7 linked regions of the Callithrix jacchus genome follow. The main gene of each other region encodes a partner of the protein of the gene in region 3 in a complex. Links are inferred from orthologs where the notes say so. Each region holds a gene or a part of one and is shown on either strand. Other genes may lie near its edges.

Evidence for each region.
Region 1: SNRNP40 (region 3) and PRPF3 share a complex: the UniProt entries of both Homo sapiens proteins name them as parts of the U4/U6-U5 tri-snRNP complex. The link is inferred for Callithrix jacchus from reciprocal best matches to the Homo sapiens genes SNRNP40 and PRPF3.
Region 2: SNRNP40 (region 3) and SCNM1 share a complex: the UniProt entries of both Homo sapiens proteins name them as parts of the minor spliceosome. The link is inferred for Callithrix jacchus from reciprocal best matches to the Homo sapiens genes SNRNP40 and SCNM1.
Region 4: SNRNP40 (region 3) and SNRPF share a complex: the UniProt entries of both Homo sapiens proteins name them as parts of the U4/U6-U5 tri-snRNP complex. The link is inferred for Callithrix jacchus from reciprocal best matches to the Homo sapiens genes SNRNP40 and SNRPF.
Region 5: SNRNP40 (region 3) and RNF113A share a complex: the UniProt entries of both Homo sapiens proteins name them as parts of the pre-catalytic and catalytic spliceosome complex. The link is inferred for Callithrix jacchus from reciprocal best matches to the Homo sapiens genes SNRNP40 and RNF113A.
Region 6: SNRNP40 (region 3) and RBMX2 share a complex: the UniProt entries of both Homo sapiens proteins name them as parts of the minor spliceosome. The link is inferred for Callithrix jacchus from reciprocal best matches to the Homo sapiens genes SNRNP40 and RBMX2.
Region 7: SNRNP40 (region 3) and EFTUD2 share a complex: the UniProt entries of both Homo sapiens proteins name them as parts of the minor spliceosome. The link is inferred for Callithrix jacchus from reciprocal best matches to the Homo sapiens genes SNRNP40 and EFTUD2.

What each region holds. Positions count from the first base shown.
Region 1 is NC_133519.1:10,250,063-10,253,562, forward strand, and holds part of PRPF3 (U4/U6 small nuclear ribonucleoprotein Prp3), read left to right. Parts: intron 1-1,148; 5' UTR 1,149-1,196; coding exon 1,197-1,341; intron 1,342-2,166; coding exon 2,167-2,297; intron 2,298-3,500. UniProt on the Homo sapiens protein: Plays a role in pre-mRNA splicing as component of the U4/U6-U5 tri-snRNP complex that is involved in spliceosome assembly, and as component of the precatalytic spliceosome (spliceosome B complex).
Region 2 is NC_133519.1:11,063,243-11,065,805, reverse strand, and holds the end of SCNM1 (sodium channel modifier 1), read right to left. Parts: intron 1,514-2,563; coding exon 1,319-1,513; intron 654-1,318; coding exon 554-653; 3' UTR 501-553; downstream 1-500. UniProt on the Homo sapiens protein: As a component of the minor spliceosome, involved in the splicing of U12-type introns in pre-mRNAs. Plays a role in the regulation of primary cilia length and Hedgehog signaling.
Region 3 is NC_133508.1:67,927,181-67,930,680, forward strand, and holds part of SNRNP40 (U5 small nuclear ribonucleoprotein 40 kDa protein), read right to left. Parts: intron 2,555-3,500; coding exon 2,425-2,554; intron 19-2,424; coding exon 1-18. UniProt on the Homo sapiens protein: Required for pre-mRNA splicing as component of the activated spliceosome. Component of the U5 small nuclear ribonucleoprotein (snRNP) complex and the U4/U6-U5 tri-snRNP complex, building blocks of the spliceosome.
Region 4 is NC_133510.1:98,945,661-98,947,905, reverse strand, and holds the end of SNRPF (small nuclear ribonucleoprotein F), read right to left. Parts: intron 1,329-2,245; coding exon 1,264-1,328; intron 668-1,263; coding exon 601-667; 3' UTR 501-600; downstream 1-500. UniProt on the Homo sapiens protein: Plays a role in pre-mRNA splicing as a core component of the spliceosomal U1, U2, U4 and U5 small nuclear ribonucleoproteins (snRNPs), the building blocks of the spliceosome.
Region 5 is NC_133524.1:115,851,741-115,854,771, forward strand, and holds RNF113A (E3 ubiquitin-protein ligase RNF113A), read right to left. Parts: upstream 1,684-3,031; 5' UTR 1,583-1,683; coding exon 551-1,582; 3' UTR 501-550; downstream 1-500. Other genes in the region: NDUFA1 (NADH dehydrogenase [ubiquinone] 1 alpha subcomplex subunit 1), read left to right, coding at 1,881-1,982. UniProt on the Homo sapiens protein: Required for pre-mRNA splicing as component of the spliceosome. As a component of the minor spliceosome, involved in the splicing of U12-type introns in pre-mRNAs. E3 ubiquitin-protein ligase that catalyzes the transfer of ubiquitin onto target proteins.
Region 6 is NC_133524.1:126,043,655-126,047,635, forward strand, and holds the start of RBMX2 (RNA-binding motif protein, X-linked 2), read left to right. Parts: upstream 1-1,181; coding exon 1,182-1,246; intron 1,247-1,457; coding exon 1,458-1,573; intron 1,574-2,982; coding exon 2,983-3,034; intron 3,035-3,981. UniProt on the Homo sapiens protein: Involved in pre-mRNA splicing as component of the activated spliceosome. As a component of the minor spliceosome, involved in the splicing of U12-type introns in pre-mRNAs.
Region 7 is NC_133506.1:85,275,255-85,278,754, reverse strand, and holds part of EFTUD2 (116 kDa U5 small nuclear ribonucleoprotein component), read left to right. Parts: intron 1-3,193; coding exon 3,194-3,329; intron 3,330-3,500. UniProt on the Homo sapiens protein: Required for pre-mRNA splicing as component of the spliceosome, including pre-catalytic, catalytic and post-catalytic spliceosomal complexes. Component of the U5 snRNP and the U4/U6-U5 tri-snRNP complex, a building block of the spliceosome.

The sequences.
Region 1 (3,500 bases), on a different chromosome or scaffold from region 3:
CTTAGCTTATTCACAGAGTTTATTTATTCCACAGTTTTCATTGGTCAACTTAAGAGTTAAAGAGTTAAAAATCAAATGGGGCGGGGCACGGTGGCTCACACCTGTAATTCCAGCACTTTGGAAGGCCAAGGCAGGTGGATTACAAGATCAAGAGATTGAGACCATCCTGACCAACATGGTGAAACCCCATCTCTACTAAAAACACAAAAATTAGCATGGCGTGGTGGCATGCACCTGTAGTCCCAGCTACTTGGGAGGCTGAGGCAGAAGAATCACTTGAACCCGGGAGGCAGAGGTTGTAGTGAGCCAGGATTGCCCCACTGCACTCTAGCCTGGTGACAGAGCGAAACTGTCTCAAAAAGAAAAAAAAAAAATAGAATCTCTTTCTGTTTTGAGATATGGTTCTTGGGGAAAATATTTGCCTTCAAATGAGTTGGCAGAACTTGTCTAGGATTGAGAATAGAGGTGGAGAATGCATTCCTCATATATTAACATTTCCCTGGATCCACTTTAATTTTTTTTTTTTTTGAGATGGAGTTTCGTTCTTGTTGCCCAAGCTGGAGTGCAAGGGCATGATCTCGACTCACTGCAACCTCCACCTCGCTGGTTCAAGCAATTCCCCTGCCTTAGCCTCCTGAGTAGCTGAGATTACAGGGGTTCATCACCACGCACAACTCATTTTTACTTTTTTTTTTTTTTTGAGACGGATTCTCACTCTGTCTCCCAGGCTGGAGTGCAGTGTTGTAATCTTGGCTCACTACAACCTCTGCCTCCTGGGTTTAAGCATTTCTCCTGCCTCAGCCTCCTGAGTAGCTGCAATTACAGGCACATGCCACTATGCCCAGCTAATTTTTGTATTTTTAGTAGAGATGGTTTCACAGTATTGGTCAGGCTGGTCTTGAACTCCTAACCTTGTGATCCACCTGCCTTGACCTCCCAGTGTGCTGGTATTACAGGCATGAGCCACCACACTCGGCCTCATTTTTATTATTTTTAGTGGATACGAGGTTTCACCATGTTGGTCAGGCTGTTCTCGAGCTCCTGACCTTAAATGACCCACCTCGGCCTCCCAGAGTGCTGGGATTGCCACCACACCTGGCCTACTGTAGTCTTTTCTTATTATCTAACTTGTCTCTTTTTTTTTTCAGGTGTAGTATTGAGTCCTGTTTGAGCTATTGTACTCTTTTTCCTCAAAAATGGCATTGTCTAAGAGGGAGCTGGATGAGCTGAAACCATGGATAGAGAAGACAGTGAAGAGGGTGCTGGGTTTCTCAGAGCCTACAGTGGTCACAGCAGCATTGAACTGTGTGGGGAAGGGCATGGACAAGAAAAAGGCGGCTGGTATGTACCTTTCTGCAGCTTTTGTCTTAACTTACAGGGTGATCCCAAACACTGCTTTGAACTTCCCCAAAATTCTCTCTGTTGGGAACGTCTAAAAAAAGGGCAGGCCACATTTTATTTTCATTTGTATTTTACTGCAAGTAGCCTAAATAATAATTTTGCTTTTTCTCTTATTGCTTATTTTTTATGTTATTTGTGATATATTTTAAATCTTCCTTTGGCTACCATACTGAGTCACCCAAGTTAGATTTACTTAGGAAGTATGCTAAAGTCAGATAGGCATGTTCAGTTATTCAGATTGACATCTCAACATATAAAAGTCTTTATGAAATACGTGAAAAAGCTTGAAGGAGGCAGATTTTGTTAATGGTAGTCTCCTACAGCTTGCTATTTGGGAAAGGTTAGGGTGGTTATTCATCTCTTTTTTTTTTTTAATATATATATTTTATATGTTTTTTAAGATGGGGTTTCACCATGATGGACAGGCTGGTCTTGAACTCCTGACCTCAGGTGATCCACCCACCTCAGCCTCCCAAGGTGCTAGGATTACAGGCGTGAGCCACCACGCCTGGCGATTATTCATCTTAAACTTGATGTTCAACCTAAATAGGTTATTCTGACTGACTTCCCACTCTAAAAAATTATAAGTATTTTCACCTCAAAGGGCAAGGTCATTCACTGTAAGAGAGATGGGAATCCTGCAAAGAACTTAAAATTTGTTTCACTCCTAGGAGTGAAATTCCAGTGTTGGTACCTGTTCTAGGCCTAGTATTAGTGTATATACTCTTATCTTTCCAATCCTACCACCGCCTTTTTTCCTGTCAGATCATCTGAAACCTTTTCTTGATGATTCTACTCTGCGATTTGTGGACAAACTGTTTGAGGCTGTGGAGGAAGGCCGAAGCTCTAGGCATTCCAAGTCTAGCAGTGACAGGAGCAGAAAACGAGAGCTAAAGGTAGGTTACAATTTACTATCTAATGAGCTCAGGACTGTTTTGAATGGTAACAGAGTTGCTGAGCTTGCCAGTTCACACTTTGATGTCCACGATTTAGAGCACCAAATGTTCAAGAGAGGTACTTAGACGTTAAAGTAGAAGAGGTGAATTGTGTCATCATCATATTATGATAATGAACTACCCAAGTTCATGGGTTGAAATATCCAAAGAAATAATTGGTAGCTTTGTCTTTTTTTAGATAACAGGAGTTTTGGTTTTAATCTTTCTCCATATTTCCTTTTTTTTTTTTCCCCTTCTTACTACTACCTATAAACTAATTGTTCTAAGATTTTATGTTTGATTTGAGGCCTATAAGTTGTTTTAGAATGTGACTCCACTGGTACCTGAGCTGTAGACCTCACTGATGTCTCTTTGTAGAGGTTTCTCTGCAATGCACTTGTAGATAGGATACCAAAAAGTAACTATTATTTATTATATTCTTGAGAGCTTACCATTTGCTACACGGCATATTGCTGGTCACCTGGTGCCATGAGTGAAACACTTGAAAGAGTTGTCAGTGCCTCCTTAACTACTACACTTCTTATTCTATATTTGCTGACTAATCCTGGCCTCTTTCAATATTAGCAGTGTCAAGTAGCCTATCTTTCTACTCATTTCCCAGTATCTCTCTTTATTAAAAAAAATTCTGCGACTCCTATGAAATCTTCCAAAGTTCTTTTGATACCTTGGCTATCCCATTGCTTTTGAATAAGCAATGTCTGATTGGTCCCCTGGGCAGTCTATGGAACAAGAAAAACCAGAGAGATGTGTGCCTTTTGTGTTTAGAGTATTGTAGGGTGATCAGAGAAGGAGAGAGAGTCCTGCATTAAAATAATTTGTAATTTGCCAGGCACTGTGGCATGTGCCTGTAATCCCAGCTACTTGGGAAGCTGAGGCAAGAGGATCTCTTAAGCCCAGGAGCTGTAATTTGATAGAGCAGAGATACCACAAAATATAGTATATAGACCCGTATTATAAAATCTGAGTAGCAGTTTTATGTAAATTTTAGGGTTGGCTATAGAATTTCAGACTTAATTTGAATTTTGTTATATTTAAGGGGGAATGATTGATCCATAGTATACACAGATATATACAGTGATGATTATGTCACAATAGGGCATACTTTCTTTTTCTTTTTGAGATGAAGTCTTGCTCTGTCACCCA
Region 2 (2,563 bases), on a different chromosome or scaffold from region 3:
TCGGTGGGAATCTTGGCGCTAACCCCCAAGGGTTACTGCCAATTCACCAGGGGATTATTTATACTCTGGGGATCATCAGGCAGGGAAGTTCAGGTTACCAGTAGGAGGTGGGGGAGCTCCCTCCCTTGGTGTTCCCCATAACCTTGCCAATGCCTTTAGACTCTTCTACATTCTCAGGGTACTTAGCCTCAGCCCTGTTTCCAGATGTGGCCAGGTGCCCCCGGTGCCTACCCACAGTCTTCATGTGATTTGAAGGGGAAAGGACTTTAAATGGTAGTGGAGAAGGAGGCAGACAACATGAAGGGCAAAGACCTCTTTTAGACAGTCTTATTAATAGGGCACCGGGCTGACGCAGCTGACGCCTGGCATGGCTTTGGTAGAAGATGGGGGAGGGGTTAGAAGTATGGAGAGCTGTGTACATTGCAGGAAAGCAATAGCCAGAATGAGAATGAACAGATCTGAAATCCTGAGATCCGACAAGAAACCAGACTTCAGGAAAGTTAAGTTCTCAGCACCCCCTGCAGTTTATTTGTGAATGAATGGGAAAAGGCTGTCAGTCCAAGGGGTAATCAGGTGGTTCCTCCTCATCAGAGTCAAACTCAACATTTTCATCTTTTACCCATCGACCTCTTCCATCTGGGATCCATCCAGAGCTGAAAAGATCAGAGAAAATGGCATTGATCAGGAAAGAGGCTCATTAAGAAGTCAGTGGTGAGCTCACACCTGTAATCCCAGCACTTTGGGGGGCTGAGGTGGGTGGCTCACCTGAGGTCAGGAGTTCGACCAGCCTGACCAACATGGTGAAACCCTGTCTCTAGCAAAATAGTTAGTGGTGAGAAAAAAATTGAGAGTCATGTAAGTTGGGTGGCTAAAACAAAATGGAACCAAAGATAAAAAACAAAAATAGAAGTAAAAAAAAAAAAAAAGACTAGGCCGGGTGCGGTGGCTCATGCCTATAATCCCAGCACTTTGGGAGGCTGAGACGGGTGGATCACGAGGTCAAGAGATCGAGACCATCCTGGTCAACATGGTGAAACCCCGTCCCTACTAAAAATACAAAAATTAGCTGGGCATGGTGGTGCGCGCCTGTAATCCCAGCTACTCGGGAGGCTGAGGCAGGAGAATTGCCTGAACCCAGGAGGTGGAGGTTGCAGTGAGCCGAGATCGTGCCATTGCACTCCAGTCTGGGTAACAACAGCGAAACTCCGTCTCAAAAAAAAAAAAAGACCAAAAATAAGAAAAATTAAATTGAATACCTTTGAAAAATAGACGGTCAGAGAGAAAAGAAAATCTGAGGAAACTGATTGGGCACACTCACCTTCGAAGGGTGAGATAATGGTTCAGGGCTCGTCTTCTTGTGGGGCTCACAGGTGCAGGGGCTGAGACAGTTGCTGACTCCTCGGCCTGTGGGCCAGCCCCAGGCTCAGGTTCCCTACTGATCTTCCCACTTTGGAGTTCGACCTCTGAGGGTGGCATAGGGGAAAGGGAGACAGAGGGACCAGGGGCTTCTGGTCTAGGTAGAGAAGAACAGTCTGTAAAAGCAGTAAGGCTGAAAGGGCCAACTCTCCTATGACTCCCAACCGCTTAAAACTGTGCTTCTTAAACTGTATGACTCTATTTCTCAAGATATTAATAAGTTCTGCCTACAAAGGATTTTAGAATCATGAATTTGAGAAAGGCTAGCATAAACATTTTTAGGTTTTTTTTTTTTGAGACAGAGTTTTGCTCTTATTGCCCAGGCTGGAGTACAACAGCGCAATCTCAGCTCTTCGCAACCTCCGCCTCCTGGGTTCAAGCAATTCTCCTGCCTCAGCCTCCCAAGTTGCTGGGATTACAGCTATGTGCCACCATGCCCAGCTAATTTTGTATTTTTAATAGAGATGGGGTTTCTCCATTTTGGTCAGGCTGGTCTCAAACTCCTGACCTCATTTTTAAAATATACTTAAAATATACTGTTATTGGGCCGGGTGTGGTGGCTCAAGCCTGTAATCCCAGCACTTTGGGAGGCCGAAGCGGGTGGATCACGAGGTCAAGAGATCGAGACCATCCTGGTCAACATGGTGAAACCCCATCTCTACTAAAAATACAAAAAATTAGTTGGGCATGGTGGTGCGTGCCTGTAATCCCAGCTACTCAGGAGGCTGAGGCAGGAGAATTGCCTGAACCCAGGAAGCGGAGGTTGCGGTGAGCCGAGATCGCGCCATTGCACTCCACCCTGGGTAACAAGAGTGAAACTCCGTCTCAAAAAAAAAAAAAAAAAAACTTACTATTCTTCAAGTAGAATTACAAAGTGCCATTTCCCAAACTTTATTTAAAAATCACAAAATTCGGCTGGGCACGGTGGCGCACGCCTGCAATCCCAGCACTTTGGGAAGCTGAGGTGGGCAGATCACAAGGTCAAGAGATTGAGACCATCCTGGTCAAGATGGTGAAACCTTATCTCTACTAAAAATACAGAAAATTAGCCGGGCATGGTGGCAAGCACCTGTAATTCCAGCTACTCCAGAGGCTGAGGCAGGAGAATCACTTGAATCCAGGTGATGGAGGTTGCAGTGAGCCAAGA
Region 3 (3,500 bases):
CATAGACATTCCATAACACTGTTAGGGAGACAGGGGTTTTATGAGCATTACTAGGCAAAGGATACTTACGAATTTATCAGAACAACAGTTCTCAGGCCCAGCGCAGTGGCTCATGGCTGTAATCCCAGCACTCTGTGAGGCCGAGATGGGTGGACCACTTGAGGTCAGGAGCTTGAGATCAGGCTGACATAGCGAAACCCCATCTCTACTAAAAATACAAAAATTAGCCAGGCATGGCAGCAGGTACCTGTAATCCCAGCTACTCGGGAGGCTGAGGCAGAAGAATTGCTTGAACCTGGGAGGCAGAGGTTGCAGTGAGCTGGAGATACTGCCACTGCATTCTAGTCTGGGTGACAGAGTAAGACTCTGCCTCAAAAAAAAAAAAAAATCTCAAATTATACTCTTTGGAACACTACTGGTTTTAACAGTAGACCAATTTTCTTGACACTAAAAATAATGGCAATATTTTTATAAGGTAAAAAAAACCTAACAGATATAATTTTTTAAAACCTTATTTTTTTTCTCCTGTAACTTTAAAAAAGCATCCAACTTTTTTTTTTTTTTTTTTTTTGAGACAAGAGTTTCACTTTGTTGCCCAGGCTGGAGTGCAGTCACACGGTCTCCACTAACTGCAACCTCTGCCTCCTGGGTTCAAGCAATTCTCATGCCTCAGCCTCCTGTGTAGCTGAGATACAGGGGCTGCCACCATATCCAGCTGATTTTTTTTTTTGTATTTAGTAGAGATAGGGTTTCACCATGTTGCCCAAGCAACCTCCCAAAGTGTTAGGATTACCAGCATGAGCCACCACACCCAGCCAGCACCCAACCTTTAAAGTTAGCTCCGAGTCTGAAAGCAGACTGCCAAATGACAGCACTTAATGGAAAACATAAGGTGGCCATAATTAAAGTTCACATGGTAGTGACTTTATATAACATTTATTAATTCTATATGTACTAAGTACCTACATGTCAGGTGCTAGGGTAAATGAGCAGACACATCTGCTATCCTGAGGGAGCTTGGTCTAGCAAAGCGTCAAGTTTGTTCTAAGTGTTATTAAGGATCGCCCACAGACATAAGTGGTACCTACAGATGACACTATTTTTCCACTGATAAAACTATGTAGTTCGGGCTGGGCGTGGTGGTTCCTGCCTGTAATCCCAGCATTTTGGGAGACTGAGGTGGGTGGATCACTGGAGGTCAGGAGCTGGAGACCAGCCTGGTCAACATGGTGAAACCCCATCTATACTAAAGTATAAAAATTAGCCAGGTGTGGTGGTGGGTACCTGTAATCCCAGCTACTTGGGAGGCTGAGGCACGAGAATCGCTTGAACCCAGGAGGCAGAGATTACATGGCATCACTGCACTCCAGCCTGGGTGACGGAGTGAGACTCCATCTCAAAACAAAAACAAAAAACAAAAAACCAACCAACCAAACAACAACAAAAAAACTATGTAGTTTCAAAATTAAGAATATCGGGCCTGGCGCGGTGGCTCACGCCTGTAATCCTACCACTTTGGGGGGCTGAGGTGGGTGGATCACCTGAGGTCAGGAGTTCAAGACCAGCCTGGCTGTCATGGTGAAACCCCATCTTTAAACAAAGAAAAAAATTTTTTTGTTTTTACAAAAAAAAAAAAAAAAAAGAGTATCAATAATTCATGTATGTTCTGCAAAGATCCTATAGCCATCCAGACGTTTGGCCACAAGTAAACTTAAGGATCACAGAGCCAGAATATCCAAATCAAAATGGGCAGTGAAGATGGGTATCATCCACCTGAGGCAAAGGGTTAACAGAAAACAGCCAAAGAACTCATTTCATCTCATAATCTGGCAAGAGTAGCTAACAGAAGTATATGATTCTTTTTTCATTCTGGCTTCATTTGCTGGAATATAAATGAAATAACTTTTTCTACTTCTCAAAAATGGGCATTGACAAATTCTACTATTTCTCAAAAATGGAAATCTAGTAGCAGATCCTAATGATGCACAGGTAGATAATTTAAGGGAGTTACCACTTTAGGATTCCTACTTTCCTATATGCTAGCTAGGATTCTGGGTGTGAATTAAGAGGACCTTATACCTTTGGGAAAAGAAAAGGTATTTATCTCCTCATTACTCCCGTTAACCTGTTACGTCTAGATTGCTAAGTGTCTTGGCAAATCAACCGGAGATTTGCCTCTATAAGGAAGATATTCTCGAACCAGAACGATTCACTTTCCAACTAGTAAAATAACTCCTTCTGTATTTGCCCCATGGACCCCGAGTTCTACATCCAAGATCAGCATATTCATGACCCAATTTTAGCATATTAGTCATGCAGCCTGTTATGCTGCTAATAGACTGACACCTTCTGTGGTACCCAAAAATTTAAAAAAATCACTATCTGGCAGAAGAAATTATTCCAGATTTTAAAACTATGCCTCACATATCAGTCGGTCAAATCCTGCAGATGCTAAGGTGGATCCGTTGGGGTGGAACTTGCAGCAGTATACTTCCCCTTCGTGTCCAGAGAGCAGCATGATTGGGGCTTGAAGGGAGGAACACCTTGGAGGTCCCTAAACAAAAGAGAAGCACACGGTAACTACTGCATATGGGCAAAGGAGGTTACAATATTAGGGGTAGGGAGTGGAGCAAAAAAACGATTAAGTGGATTTCATCTGATTTAGAGAATGGCCTCTCTTCTCACATGAATGCCTCCAATTTGGTACTCTCGGAAACTTTCCAGTATCTGTCTCTTATAATGACTCTCTTGTTCATTCTCTTGGCTCTTGTTGTATAACCAATTTTTTTCGGGGTACAGGATCTCACATCGTCACCTAGGCTGGACTGCAGTGGCGAGATCATGGTTTACTGCAGCTTCAAACTCCTGGGCTCAAGTGATCCTCCTGTTTCAGCCTCCTGAGTAGCCAGGACTGCAGGCACGCACTAGCATGCTGTGCTAATTTTTTCAGTTTTTGTGGATATGAGGTCTTGCTACGTTGCCCAGGCTGGTCTCAAACTCCTGGCCCCGCTCCTTGACCTCCCAAAGCAATGAGATTATAGGAATAAGCCACTGTACTTCTCCTGGCTCATTTAATGAAGGACGGAACTAACTTTCCCAAGAATCCTGCACGGTACGGAGTACTGGGTGAAATGGTTTTATTTTTAATTTTGTTTTGTTTTTTGAGACAGTCTCTCACTCAGTCGCCCAGGTAGGAGGGCAGTGGCATGATCTCGGCTCGCTGCAACCTCTGCTTTCCAGGTTCAAGGGATCTGGTGCCTCAGCCTCCAGAGTAGCCCAGATTACAGGTGTGCACAACCATGTCCAGCTAATTTTTGTATTTTTAGTAGATATGGGGTTTCACCAAGTTGGCCAAGCTGGTCTCAAACTCCTGGCCTCAGTGATTGCCTGCCTTGGCTTCCCAAAGTGCTGGGATTATAGGCTTGAGCCACAGTACCCAGCCTATTTTTATTTATTTTTTCATAGCACAGAGATCCCCAGCATGAGTGAAGTAGTTTTGA
Region 4 (2,245 bases), on a different chromosome or scaffold from region 3:
ACTTTTTTCTCCTTAGTAAACAAACCATATGCCTTCAGCCTAAATGTCGGTTCCCAATTTCCGTTGTGCCTTGTCTGCACAATCATTTTAATTTTTAGATGTTTCAATTTTAGCTACAATATGTGCATTTAGCTTATACTGACACAGAAGTAACATGTAATTTTACTAAGTAAAATAAGACAGTACATTAATACCAAAAACATGTTTAATTTTATACATGTTAAAAGTGGCTCAAAAATAACTTTAAAAGTTGCATTTAAAAGGTCTCAGCTAAGATATAATTTTACAAGAAAAGGTCTGAAATTCACCTTCATAAAAATATCTAAAGCATATAAATAACTATCCTTTATAGAAAAAAAAAAGAGTATCAAGCTTATAAAAAAAAGCAACTTAAATAAAATTCAGTGACTTTTAAAGCATTAGTTTTGTGAGTAATCTTTCCCAATTGGTTCAGCATTTGGGCTTTGCTGGTAAATATCTGAATACAAATAGTTCACAAGTCAAGAACAAACAAATCTTTATTGTCTAGAAATATATATATATAAAAAAAAATCCCAGGGGCTGGGGTCAGGAAAAAAAAAAAATCCCCCACAAAATATGCTATTCTCTCATTTCCCCATCTTCTTCCTCTTCTTCCACACCTCTGATATAAAGGACATTATTACACCTGTAAATAGAAAAAGTCCATTTTGTTGTTTCAACCAGAATCCATGTATGATCTGAATTACTATATTTTTTATTATGAAAATACTGAATGCTATATTTATAATATTCCTGTCTTTCAAAAAATATATATTTGTTTTTAAAAAACGTTTTACATAGATAAGTTGAAAAGCACATGGCACTGATTTTCAACCATATGGTTGTTATAAAATGATATCTTTATAATTTTCCAAGGGAAATAATTATCAGAATTTGGAGCTTTGAAGCTAGTACAAAAATTCTTACAAACAGCCAGACCCAACTAAAATTCAAAACTAAGTGCCTCCAATGAAGGCCACTGAAAAAGGTTATATAGCTAAGAGCCAGAAAATTTAACATCAACACTAGAAAAATCTTTTGGCCAGTTCTAAAGCATTTTAAAACTTATCTTTGACAAGTTTAGCAATTTCAAAGACTTCTGAAGTCCAATTGTAAAGTATTATAAGTTAATAGTGATTTTTTAAAAATAAGTAACTCCAAAATTGAGGCTCTAATATATTTAAAACAGGTATTCCTAATGCTCACCAGTAACTCCTTACATATACCACTGCTGTTTTTTACCTTATTAAAACTTCACCCAGATGTCCAGACAATGCTCCATCTATGTATTCTTCTGTATTTGCAAGCTTTCAATAAAAAGAAATATATTAGTATAATCACACAGGAGGAAAATATTACAATACAGCTAATACTGTGAGAGAACTTATTAACTGATACCTTTCTACACCAACAACTCAAATCTATCTATAATTAATAAACAGAAGATGAGCTTTCTATTACTACTGTAGGACTTTTGGTTTCATATAAACCTTCAGTAAAATTAACATTCATGGATGTAGAACAAATATATAATAAAGCTTGTTTCAACATAAGTTTCTGAATCTCCCAGGTTACGTAATATTTCAGATATCAAAACTGTGTGGAAGCAGTCTCTAATTTATGAATAAATTGTGATTAAAAAGTTTTCTGAAAATTCATTCTAAAGCACCAAATGTTGTTTTCTCAGAGTCAACATTATAAATCATACTGAGGTGTCCAAATGGGTTACAAAAGCTATGGCTAACATGCCAAATACTTTCATATTAGGCAACATCCAAAGCAGGTAATTAAGTAAGAATTTTCTTCTTTTCTTGCCTTTTAAGAAACAGGGTCTCACTCTGTTGCCCAGGCTGGAGTGCAGTAGCACAATCATAGCTGACCAAAACCTCGAACTCCTAGGCTCCTCCCACGTCAACCTCCTGAGTAGCTATGATAGAAAGCATGTGCCACCAAGCCTGGCTACTTCAAAACAATTTTGCTATATTGCCCAAGCTGGTCTTGAACTTCTGCCCTCAAGTGATCCTCCCGCCTTGGCCTCCCAAAGTACTGGGATTATAGGTATGAGCCACCACATCTGGCCAATGAATAATAATTTTTTTAAAATTTTGTACTAATAAACAGGGAAAAAGAAGTTCTTAATAGAAAGTTAAATAGTTAAGTTTCACATTTACAGTTATTTTGTTGAACTCTTATTATTTCTAATTTTATATCAAAATGTTTAGTT
Region 5 (3,031 bases), on a different chromosome or scaffold from region 3:
ACATTTCAAGTGGTCAACAGCCACATGAGGCTAGTGTCTGTCTATCACACTGGATAGCAGAGCACAGATCACTTTTATCATCCATAGAAGGGGGGTTAACTATTGCTGCTTCCAAGACAGCAAGGAACATTTTCCATACGTGAAGTCTGTGGTACTAGCTACCAATCGCCCAAACCCAACCCCTCTCCCTCACACCTTGGCTCTGATATATTTTGTAGTACAGGCTCCTAAGAGAAAGAATGCATGAAAGTACCTGGTAAACATTACGTGATACAGAAATGTGATATAATAAACAGGCTCAGAGTTCTTGCTTTCATCATAGCTTTGGCTACTTCGAGCAAATTCTAGCTCTTTTCTCAAACTACTCCCATCTCTATAATTTATGCCAAAGTGTTCTAGGGCTAAAAATCCCGATTATACCTACCTTGAAGCTTTTAATCCAGGACCCTACTTCACCACCCGCCTTCTGTCACTTTCTCTAAAAGGACACGAATTAAGACTTCCAAAAGAACAAAATATTTATTTTTTAAATTTAAGAATTATGGGAAGCCTAAGTAATGGGAATTGGATCCTCATCGGGGTCTTCTGGGAAGTTGGAAGCACCACCCTCTCCTGTAGCACGATGCTTCTCTAGTTTAGCAATCAATTCTTTCGCTGGATTGAAGACGCCGTAGGTCTGCTGGTCACAGACAAAGCAGCGCGGGGTGGTACGGAAATGCTGCAGTGCACATCTCTCGCAGAAATAATGCCTGCACTTGGTGACAACTGGGTTTTGGAAGCTCTGGCGACAGATGAAACATTTGAATGGTATTTCCTCATCATCGCTTCCCACTTCATAGTTTTCATCCTCATAGACACCATAGCGACCCTCATCAAGCTCACGTTCGATCTGCCACCCATGCTTGTAATCTGAACGGTCATGGAGGAATTTGCAGCTGTCTCCGAAGCCGCAGAAGCCAGTCTCTTTGTAGTCCTTACAGATGTCGGGCTGGTAATCCCAGCGCACGGTGGCACGTAGATGCTCGGGCGCTCGGATGGGGCCCTTCCTCACCATCCCGGAAGAGGCATTGCCCATAGACGTATCCTTGGGCTTCATGTATTTCTGATAATTGTTGATTCCCCGATAGATCTTGTCATCCTCCTTGCCCCTCAGCTCCTCCTGGATCTTCTGGCTGCGCTCAAAGATGGCTTGTGCATCGCGCTCTTTCTCTGTGTCCAGCTCATAGACGGCTGTTGCCCCCATATCCTCTGGTCCCACGGGTTTCGCCGAGCGGGTGGATTTATAAACCACGCCGAGACTCTCGGGCTCATTTTCCACCTCCTCCTCGCTGCTCAAGTTGCCGTAAGCCGCCTTCTGTCTACCACTGTCACGGGTCTTCTGTATCATTGGATTGTGGGTCGTCCGCTTCTTTTCCGGTCGAATCACAGTGCAGCCTTCGTCGCTACTGCTGCTGCTTTCTCCAGGCTCTGGGTCGCAGGCCGGGCGCTTTCTGCGTCCAGCAGCCCCTTTCCGCCCAGGCTTTTTGAAAAGGAAGGTGCACACCTGATCCGCCGTTTTTCCTGGAGAAAGCTGCTCGGCCATTTTAGAGTCCCGAGCTCCGAAACGGCCGTGGCTGCCTGGGTAGCACTTGGCCTCCGCGCGTCACTCCACGTTGCGCGCTCCGCCGCTAGTCAAAGCAAAAGACTGTGGCGGAAGAAGACTGCGAGAACGCGAACGCTAGCCTCTCTTGAGCCCTGGAGGATTCCGTCGCTTCCTCCGGAGCCGTACGTGGCACCGCCCCGCTCGCTGGCGGCCGCGGGGCTTACTGGGAAGAGAGCCGGAGATCCGTCACCTTTCAAGGACTCAGAAGTAGGGTTTTGGTCTAGGTAACCGGGCAGAGATGTGGTTCGAGATACTCCCCGGACTCGCCGCCATGGGCGTGTGCTTGCTTATTCCAGGACTGTCTACTGCGTACATCCACAAGTTCACTAACGGCGGCAAGGTAAGGGGGCTTGAGGGCGCGGGGGCCGACTCCACGGGCTGATTTCCGAAAAGGGTGGGGGGCAGGGAGGCATCAGCTTGCGGACCCTCTCTCCGAGGTCGGCCTTCTCCTTTCTTAGGGTTGCCTAGAAGCTGAGGCTTGCGAAACGAAGGTTGGTAGAAAACACATCCTGCTCTAGTGAAAACCAGCGTTTTAGGGTGGATCAGAGTGGGCCTTAGGGCAGAGTAGCGACTCGGGGCCCGGAAAGGTAGATTAGAAGAGGTGGCTTAAGTCTGTAATCCAGCACTTTGCGAGGCCGAGGCGGGCGGATTACCTGAAGTCGGGAGATCAAGACCAGCCTGACCAACATGGTGAAACCCCGTCTCTACTAAAAATACAAAATCAGCCGGGTGTGGTGGCGCATGCCTGTAATCCTAGTTATTTGGGAGGCTGAGGCAGGAGAATTGCTTGAACCCGGGAGGTGGAGGTGGAGGTGAGCCGAGATCGCACCATTGCACTCCAGCCTGGGCAACAGTCACGAAACTCGTTTCGAAAAAAAAAAACCAGAGGTTCTCCTGCCTCAGCCTCCCGAGTAGCTGGGACTACAGGCGGGTGCCACCACGCCCGGCTAATTTTTATTTTTGTTTGTATTTTTAGTAGAGACGGGGTTTCATCATGTTGGCGAGGCTGGTCTCGAACTCCTGACCTCAGGTGATCCACCCATCATGACCTCCCAAAGTGCTGGGATTACAGATGTGAGCTCCTGGCCACCCATAACTTTTTTATTCTCCACTTTTTGTTGCAAGCCTTTAATAATTTACTGCAAGATCTTATTTTATTTTTATTATTTTATCTTTTTGTAGAGATGGGGTTTCTCCATGTTGGTCAGGCTGGTCTTGAACTCCTGACATCAGGGGATCTGCCTGCCTTGGCCTCCCAAAGTGCTGGGATTACAGGCAGGAGCTACCGTGCCCGGCCAAGATCTAGTTTTTTACATTGGGATTCATTTTCCCTCTTCTAGCCCTTCACATTGTCTCTAGTATAGAGTATAAATTTATTTACTTTCTGGT
Region 6 (3,981 bases), on a different chromosome or scaffold from region 3:
TTAATTAATTCCTTTGAGCCTCATTTCTTCCTCTACAAAATAAGGGTAGAAATTTCTTTTTCTTTCTTTTCTTTTTGAATGGAGTCTCGCTCTATCATCAGGCTGGAGTGCAGTGGTGTGATCTTGGCTACTGCCTCTCAGGGTTAAGTCATTCTCCTGACTCAGCCTCCTGAGTATCTGGGATTACAAGCATGTGCCACCATGTTTGGCTAATTTTTCTATTTTTAATAGAGACAGAGTTTCACCATGTTGGCTGGGCTGGTCTTGAACTCCTGACCTCAGGTAATCCGCCCACCCCAGCCTCCCAAAGTGCTGAGTTGACAGGCATGAGCCACCATGACTGGCCCCCCTTTTTCCCCTTTATTTTCGAGACAGGGTCTTGCTATGTGGCCCAGGCTGGTTTTGAACTCCTGAGTTCAAGCAATACTCCTGCTTTGGCCTCCCAAAGTGCTGGGATTACAGGCATGAGCTACTGTGCCTGACCAGGGGATTGTAATTTTATCTGCTTCATTGGGTTGTTGTGAGGGTGGAGAGACAATACATGTAAACTGCCTAGCACATACTCTTGCATCGTATAGTATGTCATCTGTTCAATTGTTAGCTATTAATTTAACAATATTAATTTCTGCCTCCTCCTCAACTAGGAGAGTCGATGGAAAAGAGTGAGTGCAGTGGCTCTCGTGCAAATCTGTAGGCATTCACTTCAGCCTCTAGAGGCACACTGGTATGTTGCCTGTGTTTTGGGATAAGAACAACAGAAGATTTACCCTTTCGCTTATCTTCTTCACTTTTCTGCCATGACAGGGACGCTTTGATGGGGCTGTGTGTGAGCAACTGACCAGGAGCGAAGGTCCAAGTGGGACTCTGGACTGAGAGCGGGGGCTGAGACTGAAGTTGCCACATCAGACTGCTTGTTCCGTTCACTCAGAAAATATTTATAGCTAATCTAACCAGCTTTAGACACCGTTCAAGTGCTGGGGGTCCTGCAACAACCCAGGCTCGTTCCTTTACTCCATTTCACAGAAAAGAAAAATCGAAAAACTAGAGAAAATCATCTCTTCCAGAAGTAATCGCACAGGGCACGGAAGGCTGCTAGTGCGCAGGCGCCACGACCTCGGTACGCCCTAGCTCTTCCGGCGCGAGGTCAACGACTCAACCGGCAACCGGAGCCGGGGTCGCGCATGCGCCGCGCTGCCTCATCCGGGCGCCGATACCTGAATGCTGAGCGCGAGCTAGCGGAGATGAAGTAAGGCGTTAGCTTCCTTTTGAGGAAGGAGCAGCGAGTCGCCGGGGGTGGTCCGCTGGGGCTGGGGTGGTAGAGAGTCTGCGGTGTACAGAGGCGGGAGAGGCTCTGTGACTAGAACAGTTCGTCCCCTAGTTTTGCTCTCTCTCAGCTCCTGCCCAGTCGCACTTACTTGTCTGCTTTCCTCCTCCCTCCACATCCCCCCACCTTGCAGCCCTTTAACTAAGGTGAAGCTGATCAACGAGCTGAATGAACGAGAGGTCCAGCTTGGGGTGGCCGATAAGGTGTCCTGGCACTCCGAGTACAAGGACAGCGCCTGGATCTTCCTGGGTGAGGTGCACATCTTTCTCCCGCAGTGCTCCCAAGATTCTCCTACTCGGTTTCCGACGATTTCAGCGTTCCGACCCTTCACTCCTGCCTACATTCATCGCCCACCTTTATATCCATCTGCTGTCTGCCCGGGAATCCATGTTCCATCTCTTTTCTCCCCTATTTTTAGTTTTCTTTCCCTGCCAAATCATGAGAGTTACTGTTTGCCATTTGCTGTGCTAAGGCTCAGGGACTGTTGTTATTTCTCTCACCCCTGACCCATTATACAGCTGAGGAAATTGGGGTGCAGAGAAGTTAAGGGAATTCATTAAGGTCACATAGCTAGTAAGCACAACAAGCAGAACTATAGTATTCTAGAAATCATGGTCTTAGCTACACACCCACATTGCTACCACCACCCTCTCTCATTCCCCTTCCCTTCCTGAATTCACTTTTCTCCTCTAATTAGCTGCTGTCTTCTGTCCATGGCCACATTACCACTCCTGTATTCACTTTGTGTCACAACCAGTAATTGTACAGTTTGACGTTTCAAAGAGGTTATTGTACCAAACATTGTGCTAAGCACTTTATATGCGTCGTTTTATTTAATTCTTATAACAATCCTGTGAGTTATGTGCTAATATCCTCATCTTACAGATGAGGAAAGAAACATTTGGAGGGGAAATTATTTCCTAGGAAATGCTTAACAGTGTCTTTATAACGTTTGTCTATATTTAGGTGGGATTAACCATGACATATGTAGACTGATTTTGTATCATAGCTGTAAATTTGTGGATAATGAGCAGATGAATTCAGCATGTTTGTGGAAGCAGAGGTTTGTGATGGAAACTATCTGCTTTGTCCATAGTATTTGGGGTGCCAGGAGGACTGAGTGATCAGATTAGTTTAGTTAGTGGTGACTCTGACTTCCACTCAAAGTTAATCACTCCTTTTCCTGTACTACTGGCACCTTACATGTACTTCTGTCATTGCATCAGACTTGATTTTTTTTTTTAAGTTGGAGTTTCACTCTTGTTGCCCAGGCTGGAGTGCAATGATGCTATCTTGGCTCACTACAGCCTCTTTCTCCTGGGTTCAAGTGAGTCTCCTGCTTCAGCCTTCTGAGTAGCTGGGATTATAGGTGCCTGCCACCTTGCCTGGATAATTTTTTTTGTATTTTTAGTAGAGACGGGGTTTTGCCATGTTGGCCAGGCTGGTCTTGAACTCCTGACCTCAGGTGCTCTGCCCACCTCAGCCTCCCAAAGTGCTGGGATTACAGGCATGAGCCACCGTGGCCGGCCCAGACTTGATTTCTTTAAGGACAGGGCCTATTGCTTACTGTTTGCACCCCTAGTGCCTGGCCTAGTGCATGGTACGTAGTAAACTCTTGGTAAATGTTGGGTGAACTGAAATGTGGTTTTCTCTTCTAGGAGGGCTTCCTTATGAACTGACTGAAGGAGACATCATCTGTGTGTTCTCACAGTAAGTCCCTGTTCATTTCCTGCCTCCTGAGTCGACAGAGTACTTTGTTTCTATAATGCATTTTGTGGCATCACAAAAACCACTTATTTTCACTCTAGGCTGAATGGCATCCCTGCATGGGGAGGGTTGGAGATTCTGCTTTAGTCTGGATCAGTCCCAGGACATGGTTCTAGAATGTTCTCCTGTGGGAAATCCAAAAAGTTGGTTAATTTAGGCGGCCATCTTGGGAATTCAGGTCTATTTCTGTTGTCTTTGACTGAGGCTTGTTCAGCCTGGGCCTAGACTAGAACAGATTGGAACCCTCAGGAAGGTACCGTGTTGGTCCACCTCCTTGGCTCTTGCAAACTAGGGGTAACTGATGGTCACAGGGCCCTTCTGGCCCTAACCTGTGTGGCATCATAGGATTGGGGCAAAACACAGAAGTGGGGTAAAAAATAGAAGGTATAGGTTGTAGTTTGCTTTCTTTGTTTCTCAATGAGTGTAAGGTTAGTGAGCGAAGCCAGTCTCTACCTGGAGGCTGAGAATCACAGGCTGATGAGGAGCAAGAATGAATAGGAGACCTGTATATTCTTCATTCTGCTGAGCAGTAGCACTTGGTGGGAGAGGGTGTTGGCGGCTCATACTGGTAGTAGCAGCTGGTAGGAGACGGGCTGGGCAGCTGGCATGCAACCCCAGAGCTAAACAGCACAGTTAGTCCACAGGACCAGAGGACCTTGGTGGCTCACAGGTGCAGAGGAGCACTATGTTTGGGTTTTTTGGGCCTTGGGAACATAGTACAGAGAAGTTGGACGGCATGTACAGGTAGAGGACCATGGCAAAAGGGGCTGGCCAGGCAAACACAGGTAGCATACCCTGGCAGAGGGATTGCCATGGCAGGATGGTAGGGTCATCCATGGACAGAGGGTCCTGGCCAAGTGGTTGGGCCACTTAGGGGGCAGCAAGTCATA
Region 7 (3,500 bases), on a different chromosome or scaffold from region 3:
TGGGCAAATTGCCTGAGCTCAGGAGTTTGAGACCAGCCTGGGCAACATGGTGAAACCCCATCTCTACTAAAATACAGAAAGTTAGCTGGGTGTGGTGGCGGGTGCCTGTAGTCCCAGCTATTCAGGAGGCTGAGGGAAGAGAATTGCTTGAACCTGGGAGGTGGAGGTTGCAGTGAGCTGAGATTGCACCACTGCACTCCAGCCTGGGCAACAGGGCAAGACCTGTATCTCCAAAAAAAAGGGAAAAAAAAATCAAAGGGAGAAGGTATAAAAGAAAAGGCTTCTCCTAGGCCAGGCACAGTGACTCATGCCTGTAATCCCAGCACTTTGGGAGGCCGAATCGAGCACCTCATGAGGTCAAGAGATTGAGACCATCCTGGCCAACATTGTGAAACCCCATCTCTACTAAAAATACAAAAATTAGCTGGGTATGGTTGTGCGTGCCTGTAGTCCCAGCTATTTGGGAGGCTGAGGCAGGAGAGTCTCTTGAACCAAGGAGGTGGAGGTTGCAGTGAGCCAAGATCATGCTACTGCACTCCACACTCCAGCCTGGCAACAGAGTGAGACTCTGTCTCTAAAAAGAAAAGAAAAGTCTTCTCCTAGAGCAGGTTTGTGAACAGATCTTGACTGTTGAGAACAATGTGACGCTTAGAATTAATCATTTCAGTTACGGGTTTTTTTTTTTTTTAAGACGAAGTCTTCCTCTTCTCCCCTAGGCTGGAGTGCAATGACTCAATTTCGGCCCACTGCAACCTCTGTCTCCTGGGTTCAAGTGATTCTCCTGCCTCAGCCTTCTGAGTAGCTGGGATTACTGGCACCTGCCACCACACCCAGCTAATTCTTGTGTTTTTAGTAGTGATGGGGTTTCACCATGTTGGCTAGGCTGGTCTTGAACTCCCAACCTCAGGTGATCCGCCCACCTCTGCCTCCCAAAGTGCTGGGATTGCAGGCATGAGCCACCATGCCCAGCCCTCAGTTATGGGAATTTAACTTACAGTTATAATTGTGAAAGACCTTGTTATTTATATAAATCAAAGTGTTTTTTACAGCATTTTTGGTTGTTTGTTTTTGTCTTTTAGAGATAGAATCCTGCTCTGTCATCCAGGCTGGAGTGCAATAGCACTATCATAGCTCACTGCCACTTCAGACTCCTAGGTTTGAGCAATCCTCCCACCCCAGCCTCCTGAGAAGCCAGGGCAGCAGGTGCAAGCTACCATGCCTGGCTAACTTTTTAAAAATTTTTTGTAGAGATAGGTCTCACCATGATGCCCAAGCTGGTCTCAAACTTCTGGCCTCAAGTGATCCTCCTGCCTCTGCCTCCCAAAAAGCTGGGATTACAGGCAGGAGTCCACCACCCCAGTTTATAGCATTGTTTGTAAGAGCAGGAAAAGAAGAAAACTGGAAATAAGTTAAATGTTTGTCAGTTAATTATGCTCATTAATCTGATTAAATGAATGATGGTACATCCCATAAAATGAAGTACTTTGCAGCCACTAAATGCATGTTTGAACTGGGCACAGTGGCTCAGGCCTGTAATCCAGACACTTTGGGAGGCTGAGGCTGGAGGATCACTTGAGCCCAGGAGCTCAAGACCAACCCGGGCAACATAGTGAGAACTTCTCTCTACTGACAATAAACATCAGTCCAGGCTCAGTGGCTCATGCCTGTAGTCCCAGTACTTTGGGAGTCTGAAGCAGGTGGATCATCTGAGGTCAGGAGTTCAAGACCAATCTGGCCAGTGTGGCAAGACCCCCATCCCTACTGAAAACAGAAAAATTAGCCAGGCGTGGTGGCTCATGCCTGGAATCCCAGCTACTTGGGAGGCAGAGGCTACAGTGAGCTGAGATCGTGCCCCTGTACTACAGCCTGGGTGAACAAGCAAGACTCCGTCTCAAAAAAAAAAAAAAAAAGAGTTGGGAGTGGTGGTGTGTACCTGTGGTCCCAGCTACTCAGGAGGCTGAGGCCAAACGATCGCTTGAACCCTGGAGGTCAACGCTGCGGTGATCCATGATCACACCACTGCATTCCATCCTGAGTGACAGAGGGAAAACCTTTCTCAGGAAAAAAAAAAACTGTGTTCGTGTGTTTGTACAATATGTGATGTTTGTCAGATTGAAATAATTTGTCAGGAAATGGTAAGGATTTAGTTAAGCACGCAGAATGCTGTGAGGCAAAGAATATAACGTGACCAGATGTGGTGGCTCACTCACACTTGCAGTCCCAGCACTTTGGGAGGTCCCGGTGGGCAGATCACTTGAGATCAGGAGTTCAAGACCCGCCTGGACAACATGGCTAAACCCTATATCTCCACACAAAATAGAATTAGCCGGTGTGGTGGTATGTGCCTGTAGTCCCAGCTACTTGAGGGGCTGAGGCAGGAGAATCACTTGAGTCTGGGAGGCGGGGGTTGCAGTGAGTCATGATCACACCATTGCACTACAGCTTGAATGACAGAGTGAGACCCTGTCTCAAAAAAGAAGAACATAACATGACATTTATATGAATTTGTATTGCCTAAAAGTATATAGGACTAAAAGGGTAAAAATTACAGGAATTTTCATACAGACCTTTCTCCCAAGACAGTAATAAAATATACAGGTGTTTAATAAGCACAGTGGACAAAACAGCAAAACCTAGCAACAAGATAAAGAGATTAAAATTTATTCGTGCTGAAAAATACTTGGTATCACATGTCAGACTGGATTGGATTAATAAAAAAAATTTATAGAGCCGGCCTCAGTAGAGACCTTGAGTCTGCTGAGAATGATTTAGCTTGGCCCTGCCCTGACAGGATCCACAGCCAGAGGACTTTTTTAGTTCCTTCCAATGCACAGTGATCCTCCAAATCTGAGAAATCTCAGATAGACTTCTATTTAGTAAGTGAGGGAGTTCCTGAATGGGATGAGATGCTACTTTTTAGACACCAGGGGGCAGCACTTGGTGTAGTCAGTCTGAGTGCTTGGTTTATTGGCTGGGATGGGGATGTAACCAAATTGGCTTTGCCTATGGTTTCAAGGGTAGGTAGCAGAGATGCCGCTGAAACCAAACTTTTGTCCTTGCCAAGAGCTTTCTCTCCATAGAAGAGAGCCTTGTGCAGTAGTTTTTCAGATATTCCTTTGGCCTTCCTTTGTCTCCTTCTAACACCACACTCAGGCTCTCACTACAGCTGACATGGTGTTTTGTATCCTCACAGGTTGTAGGTGATGTGGACACCAGCCTCCCGCGGACCCTGGACGAGCTTGGCATCCACCTGACAAAGGAGGAGCTGAAACTGAACATCCGCCCCCTGCTCAGGCTGGTCTGCAAAAAGTTCTTTGGCGAGTTCACAGGTAATCATGTGCTCATGGCCCCTTAACTCTGTCATCCTTGTGCCCTGCCACAGGTATCACAGCAACTTTTTCTTACCCTGTAGTGGTGGTCAGAGATATGAGGATCTTTTCTTTTTCTTTGGTTTTGTTTTGTTTTGAGACAGAGTCTTGCTCTGTCTCCCTGGCTGGAGT